Linked DNA regions of Diceros bicornis minor. The protein of the gene in region 2 binds, or shares a complex with, the protein of the main gene of each other region. Links are inferred from orthologs where the notes say so. Each region holds a gene or a part of one and is shown on either strand. Other genes may lie near its edges.

What was found.
Region 1: the proteins of BRME1 (region 2) and HSF2BP are in contact, whole or in part, in a crystal structure (PDB 7Z8Z), measured with the Mus musculus proteins. The link is inferred for Diceros bicornis minor from reciprocal best matches to the Homo sapiens genes BRME1 and HSF2BP. Residues at the interface, in NP_083321.2 of Mus musculus: Met541, Gln542, Asp543, Ala544, Thr545, Val548, Arg549, Leu551, Val552, Leu555, Ser556, Asn559, Ile562, Met563, Thr565, His566, Leu569, Lys573; in NP_083178.1 of Mus musculus: Glu23, Phe24, Val25, Lys26, Val27, Arg28, Asp31, Leu32, Arg34, Leu35, Glu38, Val39, Gln41, Ile42, Phe45, Leu46, Arg48, Ile49, Glu53, Leu54.

Annotation. Positions count from the first base shown.
Region 1 is NC_080766.1:43,114,101-43,122,175, reverse strand, and holds the start of HSF2BP (heat shock factor 2-binding protein), read left to right. Parts: upstream 1-5,000; 5' UTR 5,001-5,391; intron 5,392-5,626; exon of another isoform or gene 5,627-5,787; 5' UTR 5,788-5,865; exon of another isoform or gene 5,866-5,963; coding exon of another isoform or gene 5,964-5,984; intron 5,985-6,127; 5' UTR 6,128-6,351; coding exon 6,352-6,387; intron 6,388-7,169; coding exon 7,170-7,320; intron 7,321-8,075. Other genes in the region: RRP1B (ribosomal RNA processing protein 1 homolog B), read right to left, coding at 4,674-4,803. UniProt on the Homo sapiens protein: Meiotic recombination factor component of recombination bridges involved in meiotic double-strand break repair.
Region 2 is NC_080769.1:3,770,354-3,777,746, reverse strand, and holds the start of BRME1 (break repair meiotic recombinase recruitment factor 1), read right to left. Parts: upstream 2,965-7,393; intron 2,814-2,964; 5' UTR 2,686-2,813; intron 1,738-2,685; exon of another isoform or gene 1,178-1,737; 5' UTR 859-1,177; coding exon 505-858; intron 279-504; coding exon 174-278; intron 1-173. UniProt on the Homo sapiens protein: Meiotic recombination factor component of recombination bridges involved in meiotic double-strand break repair.

The sequences.
Region 1 (8,075 bases), on a different chromosome or scaffold from region 2:
TGGGCTAACATCGGTGCCCATCTTCCTCCACTTTATATGGGACACCGCCACAGCATGGCTTACCAAGCAGTGCGTCGGTGCGCGCCCGGGATCCGAACCAGCGAACCCCGGGCCGCCGCAGCGGAGCGCGTGCACTTAACCGCTTGCGCCACCGGGCCGGCCCCTGAAAATACATTTTTATTGCAAAAAATTCATATACTACATCAAAAGTCATACAATCAAGTGTCTTGTTCACTGCCTCCTGATTCCCAGTCCCCTCCCCAGAAGGACCACTGTTATCTGCCTGATGTGCATCTTTCCAATGCATTTACATAACACTTAAATGTAATACAGAAATGCATAGTTGTGTGTGTAACCTGTATTCTGTATGTCTGTATCTGGCCTTTTTCACTTAAAAATAGCAGGGTGTGTGGCCAGCCCGGTGGCGTAGTGGTTAAGTTCGTGTGCTGCGTGGACTTAATTTTTGGTGGCCCAGGGTTCACAGGTTCGGATCCCAGGCGCGGACCGATGCACCGCTTGTCAAGCCATGCTGTGGCAGTGTCCCATATAAAGTTGAGGAAGATGGGCATGGATGTTAGCCCAGGGCCAACCTTCCTTAGCAAAAAGGGGAGGATTGGCATTGGATGTTAGCTCAGGGCTAATCTTCCTCACCAAAAAAAAAAAAAAAAAAAGCATGGTGTATATTTATCTCTAGATGGTTCTTCTAAGTGTACCAGTATGTCAAGCCAACTCTATGTGATAATTTGATATACTCAAATATCTCTGGATAATCCACAGCTGTAATAGGCAGAGGTACAATATAATGCGCTACACAAGCTTTTGTAATGGAAAACAATAGATTTCGACAAAGCAACAGGGTGACAGTAGGTCCCAGACAGTGGGCAGGAAAGGGAGCTGGACGTGAAAACACATTCTGACTGCTTCACTCTATGCGAGGCACAAGCAGAGTGGGAGCAAACCCTTTGTTAGGCCCCAGCCTGCTACTCACTTGCTGTGCAGTATTAGAAAACAGCAGCTACCCCTTTGACCCTCAGTTTCCTATAATATATGTAAGGTTTATGGTTAGGATCAAAATTAAGACATGTATGAGGGCCGGCCCGTGGCTTGGCGGTTAAGTGCGCGTGCTCCGCTGCTGGTGGCCCGGGGTTCGGATCCCCGGGGCGCACCGAGGCACTGCTTCTCCCGCCATGCTGAGGCTGAGTCCCACATACAGCAACTAGAAGGATGTGCAGCTATGACATACAACTATCTACTGGGGCTTTGGGGGGAAAAATAAATAAGTAAAATCTTTAAAAAAAAAAAAAAAGATGTATGAGAGGCACTTGTAAGACCAAAGCCATTTAGTTGGTGGCTATTATTATGACTGTCTCATGTTCTCTACCCATAGGCTACTGAAGCTCGTTTCCCTTTTAAAACATCTGTTTTCAATATATGCATAAAAATCACCTGTTTTCACCCAGGAATAGCTGGTTAAAACAAGGTACCAATTTTTGAAGGATTTAAAACAAAACAGAGAAACTCTCACAATTTAATTTCTTTCAAAACTGAAGGTGAAGTACGTATCTGAAGCAGTTTCATTGCACAACTGCTTCTTGATCTGTCTTTCCTTCTTGGGGTTGAGTTTCTTAAACTTAATACAACTAAGTTTCTGACGACAATACAGGTTTAGTTATTTCAAAACGAACGAGGTGAGCATGCAAGTCAGACGTGGATACAGTAAACACCCATAAGCCGTGAGACAAGAAAACCCAACAGCTACTTTCATCACGAAAGGAGCACAGCAGCCATTGTAGGTGGGGGTGAAGGAGCACGCGCCAACTCACACCAGTGTCAAAACACACACAGCTCTTAGCTCTAACTACTGGGTCGAGAGACCTCTAATCCTATTGTAAGAAAAACACTTATTTCCCCTATTACTGGCACTGAATCTAAGACACCACCAACTGTAAGATGTACTATTTCACGTGCCCCCAAAAGAAAGCAAGAATGCAAATGAAACTGTCACAGGTTGACTTTAACGTATATCCCAATTCTAGTAGATGTTAAATGTTTAAAGTTGCAGAATTGCTCAAACAGGCAGGGATTTTTCTCTGTGTTTTCACTGCCAAAGACATGAATGCATGAATAAACAGGGACCAATGAGCCCTAATGAGTAAAACCATGCACAGTGACCGTTCTATGACCGTGGAGGCCCCACACGAGCAGTTAAAGCGCCAGAGCAACACTGAGCTGCTTTAAGCACTACGAAGATCTCCAATTTGTTTTCAAAATCACAAAGCTACCTACGATGGACGGCTACATGTATCAGTAAGTAAAATTTCAGATTGCCTTTACTATGCCTAGACAAGATGCAAAAAAATTTCAGCCTACCAATGAGATTCAAATGTCAGGCCAAGTTATTTCCAAACTCGTGTTTCTAATTTGACAGAGCACAGCTGTGGCAGAGACCTTGTTCATCTGTCCCACCATCACCGTCTATAACACTCACTTTGCAGATCCTTTTTTGAAGGCCCACTATATTCTGTGCAATGTGGATCTAGTGGTGAACAAGAGTTACAAGACAAGTAACTCTAGGTGTGATGGGCGCTAACCAGGCAGGACTCTGGGGCATTGGTGTAAGCACACTGGCCTCACGCTCCCGCGTCGCCTCAACATACATTTCATATCCTGGGCTTGCTCTGCAAAGGGGTTTGAGCAACAGGCCTGTCTGGCTGTCTCAGCTCCATATGTACTGCATCTGGTCTTTCTTCTGCTCTTGTATACAGTCAGGCCCTCGTATGCCTGGATATGCTCCCACTTTCAGCTAAGAAAACAGACGGAAGCTTACAGTGTTTTGGGGGAAGAATGACACATTAACACATAATTAAGAATCAATGTAGCTAAGTGCTACAATAGAGACATACTGTATCTTTCAGAATCCTAGAGGAGTGGGGGTGAGATGATAGGGAAGGCATTTTGGAGGAAGTGATACTGAACTGAATGCTGGGAGTGGATCAAGGGTGGGAATCTTTTTGGAGTGAAGAGAAGCAAAGGCAGAGAGGTGAGAAATGGTGTACTGTACACCAGGAACCAAGAGTGGCTTCCTGTTGATGGAGCGAGAAGCAGTCACATAGGCGCTGAGGTGGAAAGAGAAAAGGAAGACAGATCATGATCTGCAGGCCTGGGATTCCAGGAAGGTGGTGTTTTAGGAAGAAGACTCTTGGCTTGCTTGTGGAGGACAAGTTCAAGGGGGGACAAATGGAGGTAAGGAGATCAGTGGGGAAGCGGGAAAGTGCAGGAGTCTAGATGAGATAAAGAGAGCCTTTGGTCAGGACAGAGTAATTCAGGAGACAAAAGAGGTAGGACCAAGGGATGCTGGACGTGGAGCAGGGGGAGAGGATGAGGGAGAGCAGAGTCCAGGACAATACTGTGTCCAGCTAGAGTCTGAGGGGATGGTGGGAACTAGCAACCAACATAAGAGAGCACAGGTGGCAGGGCAGCAGCAGAAGAGAATAGGTTTTGGGGTGAAGAAAATGAGTCACTTTTGGGCATTCTGCATCTGAGGTGCCTGTGGGACATCCAGGTGGAGATGTCAGGTTAGTAGGGAATAGCTGAGCTGAAAGTAGCAAAGGTCTGGGCTAGAAATTTAGGTTTAGGAACTTTCAGCATATATGTGATACCTGAAACCATCAAAGTAAACTAAATCTCTCAAGGAGATTCCTAATAGAACTGAAGTCAAGAATTCTGGTCTTCATTCCTCTTTCTAGCAGACTTCGCATAAAATTGCATTTTCTTTTTCCTGGGTAGTCTTTCGTGATTTCGCTTCATAAGTAAAACAAGGAGATATCTATTTTTTCAAGTATACTCTAAATGTATTCCTGTTAGCAGTAAGTGAATCAAACTTTTTCCTAGCGCAACATAAAACCTCTATCCACAGTGCAGTTCATACCTCATGTGCTCACCCAAGGGTTTACAGAATGTATTTTGGATCAGGTAAATGAAATCCTTCAAGGCACCCCACTGAACTAAAAACGCAAACTACAAAGCTCGGTGTGACCTGGCCACTGCCTACTTTTCCGACTCCATGTCAAAGTACCATCGCCCTCCCTGACTCACTGGTCTTCCAGCCATTCCTAGGGCATGCTCCGCTCTTCCCTCCTGCCTCTGTTCAGATCTGCTGACCACCACCCCGGAGAGGCTCTCCTGGAACTGCCTATGCAGCGGAGCTCCCTCCTGCCCTGACTTCCATTTCCGCCCCTGCACTCATACGAGCTCGGTTTTAGTTATCTACGCCCCCTAGCTTTACTAGCAGAAGTTCCTCGAGGGTAGGGATTCTGTCTGCTCTCCTGGAACCCCAGCATCTAAAGGCGTCGGTCACACGAAGGCGCGAATCAATGAAGAGCACACCAGAAAAAAATCGGGCTGAGTCTAGCGATTCAAGGCGCAGGCTCCGAGCCAGGCAGACTGGGTCTATTCTCGGCTTCTCCCCTCGCTGTGACTTTCAGCAGGCTACCTGACCCCTGCGGCCGCAGCCCCTCGACCGTAAGACCGGACTAGACCCAGCAGGCAGCGGTGCCCACGGTGCGGACACACCGGGGCGAATGGCAGGCGTGCGAGCCGGTGCCCGACCCTCTCCCTGCTCCCCCGGCCCCGGCCCGGCCGCCATGTGGCGCGGCTAACCGCCGGGCGCCCACCTGTCTCCCTCTGCGTCTTCACGCTGAGGTACTGGCGCAGCTTCTTCACCGCCCGGTCCCTGATGCCCTTCTCGTGGGACGCCAGCCGCTGAGCGAACTGGATCTCGGCCGGCTGCATGGCGGGGGCCATCGCGTGCGCTGGAGCATCCCCGGCCGCAGCCCGCCGCGCCTCCACCTCCCGCTGCCGCCGCCGAACCCCAGCCGCCGTGCCGTCCGGGCCGCGACTGCGCAGAAAGCGGCGCGGGCGGCGGCGCGCGCGCTGATGGCGTCATGGAGGCCCCGGCTCGCAGCGCGACCTGGGAGCCGGCGGAGCGGCCCGGCGTGGGTTCGCGTGGTGCCGTCGCCCTTCCGCGGGCTTTAGGTCGTCAAAGCTCGGGGCCGTTGACGGCGAGCTAAGCCAGCGTTGAGTCTTGGCCAGGAAGAGACGGATGGCCAATTTTAAGTGGTCTAGAATCTTTAAGCTCTCTCCACAAAAACCCCATCCGATAGGCAGCTGTCCTACGAAATACACGGGTTTTTAGTTGCATTGGAGTCCTTGGCCCGCCTCGGTCGGGTGGAGACTGGGAAGAAGGGCCGTCCTTGGGATTTTTGGCGTGATATTGAGGGCAGCTCCATCGATGGGCCGCCCTGGGCCTCTACTGCCGGCAGAGGCAGCACCCTCCAGCATCTGGGTCCCGGGGCAGGTGCAGGGAAGGTCCCGGTACGGGGGCAGAGGCAGGTACGGGGGCAGGTCCCGGTGCAGGGTCAGGATATGGCAGGTGCAGGGCAGGGCCGGTGCGGGGGCAGGATATGGCAGGTGCAGGGCAGGTCCGGTGCTGGGGCAGGTCCTGGTGCAGCGTCAGGTGATGGCAGGTGCAGGGCAGGTCCCGGTGCATGGTCAGGATATGGCAGGTGCAGGGCAGGTCCTGATGCGGGGGCAGGTCTTAGGGCAGGGGCAAGGACAAGGACGAGTTCCTGGACAGGGGCAGGGCGGGGATCTGCAGCGTGTGCTTGCGAGTCTGCCCTCAGGCCTGGAGAGCACGCACTCCGGGAGCTCGGGCAGTGTCGGCTTCCTGCGGGTTTCCGAGACGGATGGTCTTAGTTGTGCGGTAACTGGGTACGCCTGAACCCACAGGCTGCATGCACCATGTTTCGCGAACTCAGCGGGCGTATTGGGGCAAGAGAATGGACCCGGTGACGTCTCCAAGTTCAGGTGGTCATCTCAGTTACTTAGCCAGCCGACTGGACTAAAGCTCCCTGGGGGGGCGGACTCCCCAAGGAGCTGTCGTCGGAAAGCTTCGACCTTTGCTAATGGGGCTCAGAGACAAGCGGGTGAGAGTGGTCACCAGCCGCGTGGGTGGTGGTTCCCTTGACCGCATCGCCCCTTAGTCTAGCATCCCTAGACACACAAGAAAGGCCAATTCGATTTATCTCATTTGACACTTAATCCTGGGTCTCACTGTCCTGCTTTGCAGTTAACAAGTTTAAAGCCCCGGCTGAGCCAGAAGAGCGATGCGGGATCTCGCCGAGCCCACCCCCAGTCCCCGAGACTGAGAGCGCTGCGCAAACTCTATGAAGTTTGAGCCTCGTGGCTCTCTGTACTCGACCCCTCGGCGTGGACGCATTCCCGCGCTTTCTTGCGTGTGAGGTCAGAGGGCGCGTTGCCGCGCAGGCGCAGGGAGCCGAGGCCGTGGCGGCCATGGGCGAGGCCGGGGAGACTGTGGAGGCCTGCCGGGTCAGTCAGGGGGCCCGGCGCCGCAGCTGCTGCGGTTGTCTACCCCGCGCCTCAGTGGACGCTCGGGAAGGGCCTGGGCCTCGTGGGTGGACAGCGTGGCCTGGACGGGGGTGGGGGCGGCGCGGCGGGCCGGTGGGCACCGAGCGGGAGGCGACGGCGCCGGAGCCAGCGCGCCCCGTAGGGCCCCTCGCTGTGCTGGGGCTCGGGTGTGCTCCGGGAGAATGCGGCTTCACGGGTGACCAGTGTCCCCTGAGTGCTCGTAGTGGCGTCACTGCAGTGACTTAGGAGGAGCTCGGACCCCAGAGGCAGATCCGTGTTCCCATCCTGCTTCGGCCCCCTGCTAATGGCGTTTCTTTGAGAAGGCCACCCATCCTCCCCAGGCCTTGGTTTCCAACCTGGACAACCTCGGAGGGCTGAGGTGAACACCACGAAATGAGATGACCAGCAAAGGGCTGGGCGCCCAGTGGGAACCCAGGAAACGTCCTTCCCTCCTGATTAGCCTGGCGCTGGAACGTTCAGGAAGATGCTGGCATTCTCTTTGGTTTTCAGGATTAGAGCTTCTCTCATGTGCCTGTGAGAAAAGGGAACTGGTTCCCATCTTGAAGGCTGGGGCTCGGCTCTCAAGATATGACGTGTATAGCAGAGGGCACTTTAGGTGAAGACGTGCTTTTGAAACAATTATGAACTCAAGAGGCCCTGAAGAAAAGGAAGCAAGCTGGCCTGGGCTGCGGGTTCTAGTGATCTGAAGGAAATGTAATCTTAAAATCTGCTTGCTTTTTTAGCACGTGGGAACTAAGGAAGAATTCGTTAAAGTCAGAAAGAAGGATCTGGAACGGCTGACCACTGAGGTGATGCAAATCCAGGACTTCTTACCCAGGATACTGAATGGGGAGGTACTGGAAAGCTTCCAGAAATTAAAGATTATGGAAAAAAGTGAGTTTTATTTCATTTTTAGCAGTCATTGATGGTGACAGACATCTGTTTCAGCAGATTTACCTTATGTAAATTGCTATAAAGTAATTGTAAGTAAATTCTAAGTACTGTTATAATCCTTGTAATTATTTTTGGGAGAGTCAGATAAGGCATAAGAAAGGGAGGGACCCTCAAATGGATAACTTTTTTGGACAGGTGTAAGTTTGTGTTGGAGGAAGAGTTGCCAGCTTTTAGGAATATCTGTTACCAGTTTCTCTTTCTCTCCACCTTTTTTCCTTGGCAGAAGAATTTTATTCAGTCATGCACTGAATAACGGCCTTTTGGTCAATGACGAACCACATGGACGACAGTGGTCCCATAAGATTAGTACCATGGAGCCTAGGTGTGTGGTAGGCTATACCGTCTAGGTTTGTGTAAGTGCACTCTCTAACGGTCACACAATGACGAAATCGCCTGAAGGTGTTTTTCTCAGAACGTACTCCTGTCGTTAAGCAACATGTAACGGTACTTTTATAATTGAAAAGCTCTACTCCAAAAACGTATAAGTTAAGGATCTGGGCATGGGGAAACTTGCGTGGAGTTGAATGTGTCTGTAGAGGTAGTTAGATGTGTTTCCTTGTCTCTAGGTTGATGGACGGGTCAGCTTCTAGCACTGATTCAAGTTCAGGCTTGCTGGTTCTTGTCCATTAAGATTTTGAGATTTGAGCTGAGCCGTTATGTCAGATGTCAGTCTGGGAGCCTGTTGAAGTTCTGGG
Region 2 (7,393 bases):
GCCCCTCTGGGCTTTACGACTCGCACGCACCCTGGGCAAGAGGGCTCTGGCCGCGACCCTCCCGCGCAGGCGCAGCTGTCCGGAGAGCCTCTCGCAGGCTGAACACAGTTGCGAGGCCAGGCCAAGGGGCCGCGCACCTACAGTGCTCTGCCCGGCCGGTTTTAAGGCCTTACCGAGCCACAGGCCCCACTCCCGAGGTCCTCTGCCCTCCGGGCGGCTTGTCGTGTAACCGTCTTCCTGGGCTTTGCAAACTGAGGCACGAACCTCCCAAGTGAGGTCTGTGAACCAGAAACAAGAACAAAGCAGCAGTAAAGATAAGGGAGGAAGGCAGGCCCAGGAAAAACCAAGCAGCAAGGCCCGTTCCTTTCTCCAGCCTCCAACGCGGCCCCTGCCCCCATCCCTGTGCACACTCTCCCGAGCCCGCCTGGGCAGAGTGAGCAGGAACACGGACTCCAGCTGCAGGGGCCAGCTCTTGTGCAAGCACGAGGCTGCGAACCGGCTCACCTGGGAAGGGGGAAGGCGCCCTGGCTCCTCTTCTGGCTGCCTGAGGAGCCTGGAGGGGGGTCCTGCTTCCTCCTCAGGGGAGCTGGGCGGAGAAAGACAAAACAGAGGAGGTTCTGAAGTCCTCCGAGGCTGCCAACATGCTTCGTAAGACAGGGAAGGAGCTCCGAAGGCAGAGTAGTGCTCAGAGCCTCCTCTGAGGGAGGCCTGGAGCCCCTGCCTGGAGGGAGGGGGGTGGGCAGCACCCTGCAACGTTAACCGCCAGGAAGCATGCAGAGCCCCACAGCCGGGGTGTGAGCGGCACCTCTGCCCTACAAGCCCAGGAGCCGCTCCTGCAGAGAGAACAGGAATTCTCATGTGGACTGACGGCCCAGCCCCAAGTCTGCCAATGCTAGAGGAGGGAAGTGCAGATGCGGGAAACACGGGGTCCAAAACACGGCGCAGTCACAGTTGCCGCAACGTGGAAGCCACGGAGACGTCCTGCGGCAGGGGAGCGCATAAGTAAACTGTGGTGCCTCCCGACAACGGGGCAGTACTCAGCGCTGGAGAGAAAGGGCTCTGGAGCCATGAACAGACGTGGAGGAGCCTTAAGTGCGTGTTCCTCAGTGAAAGAAGCCATCTGAGAAGACAGTGGCCTGTGTGATTCCAACTCGGTGACGCTCTGGAAGAGGCAGAACTAGGGAGACAGTAAAAAGATCAGTGGTCGCTGAGGTGGGAGGGAGAGGAACAGGCAAGGATTTTCAAGGCAGTGAAATACCCCGTATGACACTATAATGGTGGAAACACGTCACCACCCATTTGTCCAAACCCACAGGATGTACACCAAGAGTGAGCCCTCAAGTCAACTACGGACTCTGGGTGACAATGAGGTGTCCACGGAGGTTCATCCTTGGTGACAAATGCACCATTCCCGTCAGTGATGGTGATAATGGGGGAGGCCGTGCATGTGTGGGGGCCGGGGGTATGTGGGAAATCTCCATTTTACTGTAAGCCTAAAACTGCTTGAAAAAAATAAACTGCTCTTAAAAAAAAAACTGGTGAGACTTATGGCTATAGCTAAATAAATGTGGATATGTATATGGTAAAAAAAGATCGACATCTGGAACTGAAACTTACACGATTTCAACTTTGGAAGGGGAGCAGGAGGAGGCATGAGGACACGCTAAGGGGCCTGCGCTGCGCCCAGGCAGGTTACGGAGACAGAACGAGCCTAGATGCTGATGGCAACAGTCTGCTCCACGGTTTTTAATTGGGACGGGGTGTTCGGGAGGCTTCTGGGGTGCTGCTGGCAAGATGTCATTTCTCAACACGCATGTGTTCCGCTTGTCTGCTTTCTGTTCTTTTTTTCCTGTGTTATATTTCTGTGCATGTGGTACTTCTTAGTAAAACATTTAAAAAACAACAGAAAACAAGAGAGTGGGAACCCACTTCTGTGGGCTCCATTCCCGTGGACTCAGACGGCAGGGCGGGCAGCAGCCGAGACCCCGTGGGCCCTGTTGGCCTCTCCGGGAGTGAGGGGCGTGGTGACACTGCGGTGTCTGTCTGGGAGAAGGGCTGTGACACATGGCCCCTCTTCATGTCACACACACAGGGCTGCCTTCCGTCCTCAGACTGCAATGACCTGAGATCAGATACGCACACCCCCGGCCCCCGAGAAAACTGCTCTGTCAGCGGCCCACATGCCTCAATTTCTAATTCAGAAAATTTGGCAGTCCCATCCATGACGCCTTCTCTGAAGACTCTGGCTGGCAGGAACCGCTCTTCTCCTAACTCCTGCTAACCCTTCCTACTTTGCTCAAGTTACGTGTGGTTTAACCCTGTGGACAGACTAAACTGTTCTCCAGGTCTTTCTTTTTCCCCACTGTGCATAATGACATATATCCTGAAAAAATTAAGGAACTGGGGAAACGGAGCCAGACGCAGCCAGCTCAGACCCGGCCTTGCACCAGCTCAGAGGCCTTGGGCAAGTCATTTGCTCTCTTGAAGCCTCAGGGTCCTTACCAGTCAAATGGGGAGAAAAACTGACTTTACAGCTGCAAGGATCCAATGAGCTGATGTGTGTAAAGCGCTTATTAACTCGCTGCCTGGCACACAATGATTGTTTTTCCCTTTTACTAGTCATTATTTAGCAGACCCACGACTCCTTGGTCCCTTCTTGATTGAGAAGGAATGTGGGATACATACGGATTAGGCCAGCAGACAGGACATGCTGTTGCATCCGTAACTAAGTGACCTTGGAAATTGGAGGTTTTCCTCGCCTGTGGTTAAAACATCGACCTTTCTTGCTGGAGAAGCGAGTCCTGGGAGGAAAGCTTCAAGAAGCACAGTCTGAGGGCCCTGAGCCCCCGGGGGAGGCACCGCATGGGACGGGTTGTGTTGGTCCCCCCGCCCCCCAACCCTGTGCACTGGCCCCTGTGCTGTGCTGTCATCAGGGAGGCTGCTGGAAGATTCTCAGCCACCTACCTGGAGGCCGCCTGTCCTGGCTCCTCCCTGCTCCGCTCTGCAGAGGAAGCGGGTCCTGAGCTGCCTTCTGACTCATCAGGGTGATGTAAACAGCCCGACTGGGAACTCTGGGGGGCCCCATCACAGTCTCCTAGCCTCAAGTTCTTTGGGGGTTTCGGAAGACGGATTCCTTCTCCTCCTGGTTAGAGACAAAGGGAGATGAAAGGGTGGCGTGTTAGAAACAACCAAACAAGGCAGGACCACCGCGGCCAAGCGAGCAGGCTCGTCCAAGGCCAGGACACCCCTGCTCCGACGGCCGCCTGGAGAGCGAGAGATGGGATGCAACCTCGTCCAAGAGGTGGGACCTAGGAGCTTACGCGGCCATGGGATTCTAAGGCCTTTTCGCTACGGCCTGGTCGTGGCTGTGGCTGAATCCTGAGGGAGCCTGGCGTGGCTCCAAACCACCCGAGACACCCTGGCCCAGCCGGTCTCTCTGGGGAAGTGGCAGGAGGTACGTGCTGGCTCTTCCAAGTCTCAGCTCAAATTTCCCTGCAGAGGGGCCACCCCTGACTCCTCCACAGAGCACCCCCTTGCAGCCCCAGGCTCTGCCTCCTTCACGCCACAGCTTTCCTGCAAGGACCCCATGGACTGGGTCATTTTCTGGCCCCCCTCTACAACGTGCTCCATGCAAGGAGGGGCCTCGTCTGCAGGGTCCCCCGTGCCTAGAAGAGCATCCAGGAGATCACTCCCGGGGAGATGCAGCCAGCACTGGATCCCGTGTCCTCTAGTTTCTCGATGTCCGCAGAGCACCCCCACCGGGAGAGCTGGGACCCGAGTCATTGAGTGCCAAGGTGATGTCTCGGCCGCCCCTGGTCCCTTACATCTCTGCGATACCTTCCCCATCGCTGAGTGCAACTTAGAACCTAAAGGTGCTTATTAACAGCTATTTGTTGAATGAAGGAAACTCCCTTGCACAGAAACTGCCACCAGCGGCTGGCTTGGACGACCTCCCCAAACCTGACCCCGACTTAATCACCGATTCAATGAACAAATGCTAAGGGCTGACTCTGGTGAGTTCCACGCCAGACACTGGCCTGACAACCTGGGTGCGTCAAGACAAAACTTTGAGGTAGGGTCCTGCTGTAATGCCCATTTTACAGATCAGAAACCCAAGGCACATGGAGCCAAGGGATCGGGACTGGGATGCAGGCAGTCCAACTCCAGAGCCTGCACACTTCACTGTACTTGAGCATTTACTGAGCACATACTGTGTACTGTGCTTCTGAGAACAAAAAGACTAACCAGACCCAGGCCTGATCTTCCTGGGTTCAGGGAGGGAGACCCTTTTGAACCTCTGCTCCCTCCTCCCAACGCCGACGCCGGGGTCCTCCTCAGCACTCCCCTGGCTGTTCATACTCCACTAGACGGCAGCGCCTTCCTGTCATTTCCCCTAACTCTGTCCATACGGTACGGTTCATGCGTGCCATTAAGAACTGTACTCCACTGCCGTGTATTCAGTTAGCTCTCCCCATGAGGAGCATTTTCCTTTCTCCCGACTAGACCTTGAGGGTGCTGAGGGCAGGAACCGAGTCCTCTGCACCCTTTGACCTCATCCCTGCCCTGCCTCTGCCCCCAGGTGCCCACCCCAGCACTGCCTCTAGGGCCAGGCTCCGACCCACGTTTCTTACACTAACACATTCCCACCTTGAGGCTTGCCAAAAAAGGCAAAATACAGCAGCTTCGTTTACTTGGTTTCTTAAGATGCCCAGACACTAGCTCGCTTTGCTTGTCCAATGAACATTTGTACCAAATAAAAAGCAAAAATATCAACAGAAGTGAAGAGCCTCCCCTTTCCTTCCGGTGATCTGTCCCCACAAGACTAATTTAAGAAAAACGAAGGCCAAACCTTGTGTAGTGCAGGGAAACGGCCTCTTTCACCACCTGCCAGAATCATCTGTCTCTCTCCCCGCCCCATCCAGGACACACAGAAACTGCTGTCCCGGGCCGGCCCAGGGGGCCACTGATCTGGGGAGTCCACTGCCAAGAGAGGCCCCAAGAGACCTGCTGTGGGTGGGCCTGTCCCCGGCTCCCCCCAGGTCAGAGAAATTCCTGTGCCTCCAAGCAGCCTGTTGTGCATCTCTGCACAAAAACATTTCAACCCGTTGGTAATTAATTTTCTATCCCACATCTTGGGAAAAAAATGAGTGTTCCTCCCTAAGTTCATTAAGCACTCAGTAAAGAAGTCATTTCTAAACTTTTGAGAAGTTGAAGTTACCTTAGACAATAACAAGGAAATGGAACCATACCATGTAATATGGGCCGTCTTTCTTTTTGAACGAGGAAATTCTACGTGTATATTGACAAGTAAAGACAATCTTGATCTACCAGGAAGCGGAAAACGGAGGGTGCAGAGCAGAACGTGTGATGACTCAATTTTCCAATAAAAACACTCTATTTGCGTATACACAGAAAAAGTTTAGAAGCAGCAGTGTGCCGCGGTTCATTTCCTGGTTTTTAAGCTGTACTACATGGCTGATCACCGTCCTGCGGTTTTGCCAGACGGCAACGTTAGGGGAAGCTGGGGGAAGGGGAGACAGAACTCTCAACTATTTCTTGCAACTTTTCTGTAAGCCCCAAATTATTTCAAAATGAAGTTTTCTGAAAAGCCTGGAAGGGCAATCATAACAGCAGCATGCATCGGTGTCCTTCCTGGGGTCTACTCTCCGTGCTCTGCAAATATACTAACCCACGTGTGAGCTCTGGGCCTGGCTCTCAACCTCGGCACAGCTGACCTCCGGGGCTGCATCATTCTGGGTCATACAGGCCATCCGGGGCGCTGTAGGATTCTGAGCAGCATCCCTGGCCTCAGCCACTAAATGACAGTACCACCCCCAACACACAATTGTGAAAACCAAATATGTCTCTAGATGTTGCCAAATGTCCTCTAGGGGGCAAATTCCTCCCTGACCAGGTTGAGAATCACTAAAGGAAGGGTAGGTGCTCTTAGGATCTCCTATATACAGAAAGGGGAAACTGAGGCCCAGAGTACATCATCTGCCATCATGCAGTGAGCAGGAGTGCTGGGAGGAACCCAGGTCTTGGCTCAAGAGCAAAGCACTTAGCCACACACCAGATGGCCGTGCAGCACGTCGAGCCCTATCCAGGGGTCGTCTTTGAGAGTGGGCCCCAGGGAGGTGGCACCCCGCCCTGAAGGCTGTGGGATCCCACCGGGGGCTCCAGGAAGCCCCACGAAGCTTTCCCTTCTCACTGTATGCACTCCTCCGTAGTTTATACTTTCCTTACCGGCACGTATTAAGTCATCACTTTCTTCTTAAGGAGCTTGGTGTGGTCATGGTAGCATCTCTGCAATCAGTAAGCCCACATTCCTCCCACCAGCAGAGGCAGCACTAAAGAGGTGTCCACCCGAACGACCAAGTACCTGAGGTCCGAGCCTTCTTCCTCTTACTCATGTTATCCTTCCTTGAGAAACCTGAAAACAGCCAGCCAAACCCCAGCATTACACTCAGTCCCCGCCCCTGGGCGCAGAGCCCCCTGCCTCGCTGAGGGCGGAAGCCCCCCGCGCCCACCTCGGCCCATCTGGCTGCTCCGAGGGGTCAGCTGGGCCCCACGAGGGCACAGGGCGGGAGCCACAGCCACGTCGGCTGTGGCCGGGGAAGAAGTGGAACCTGCGCGCTGCGGAGGGGACGGGGACTGCCCGGCGCCTGCCCAGGGCCTCCGCGCACGTGGGCACCGGGTCCTCGTGGAAAGCCCTGGGGACCCGGGACCTCGTCCCTAAGTCGGGGCGGCGTTTGTGAAGCCCCCTTCCTCCAGACAGGGGTCTCCAGGACCCTTCCGGGGACACCTGGGGACTTCAGAGGGGCCACTTGGGGCCCTTCGAGGAGTGGCGAGCCCTTCGGGGATGCTTGGGGCCTGGGAGGGGCCGGAGTCGCCTCAGGGGCCGATGAGCCCACACCGACCTGGGCGCAAGGAGTCGTCAGGTCTCGCTGTCCTTATCGGGAACTAGGGAGGTCGGCCTGGATCTGCTGGGGGACAAGTCGGTTAAATCATTTGCGTTAATTTTGGGGGGAAAACACCAGTAGGCCCTCACGGAGACGGGGCAGCCGGGGCGCTGGAGCCGAAGGGCCAGGAGGCCCCTCAGGGCCGGGGCCCGAGCGCTGTGGACCCGGCTTCCGGTGACCAGGCCCACACTAGCCCCACCCCGGCCACTGAAAAGTGAGGACTGCCCAGACCGAGACCGCCAGGTGAGGCCGGAGCCCGTAGGAGGCCGTGAGACGCCGCCTCCCCCGTCACCCGCGTGCGCCCCGCCTCTTTCCCGCGCACTGCGAGGCCCCGCCGCGCGCATGCGCGATGCTAGCACCGCCCTCACACGCTCCGCCTCTTTCCCGCGCAACCCATGGCACCGCCCGCCGCCCCGCAGCGCGCATGCGTA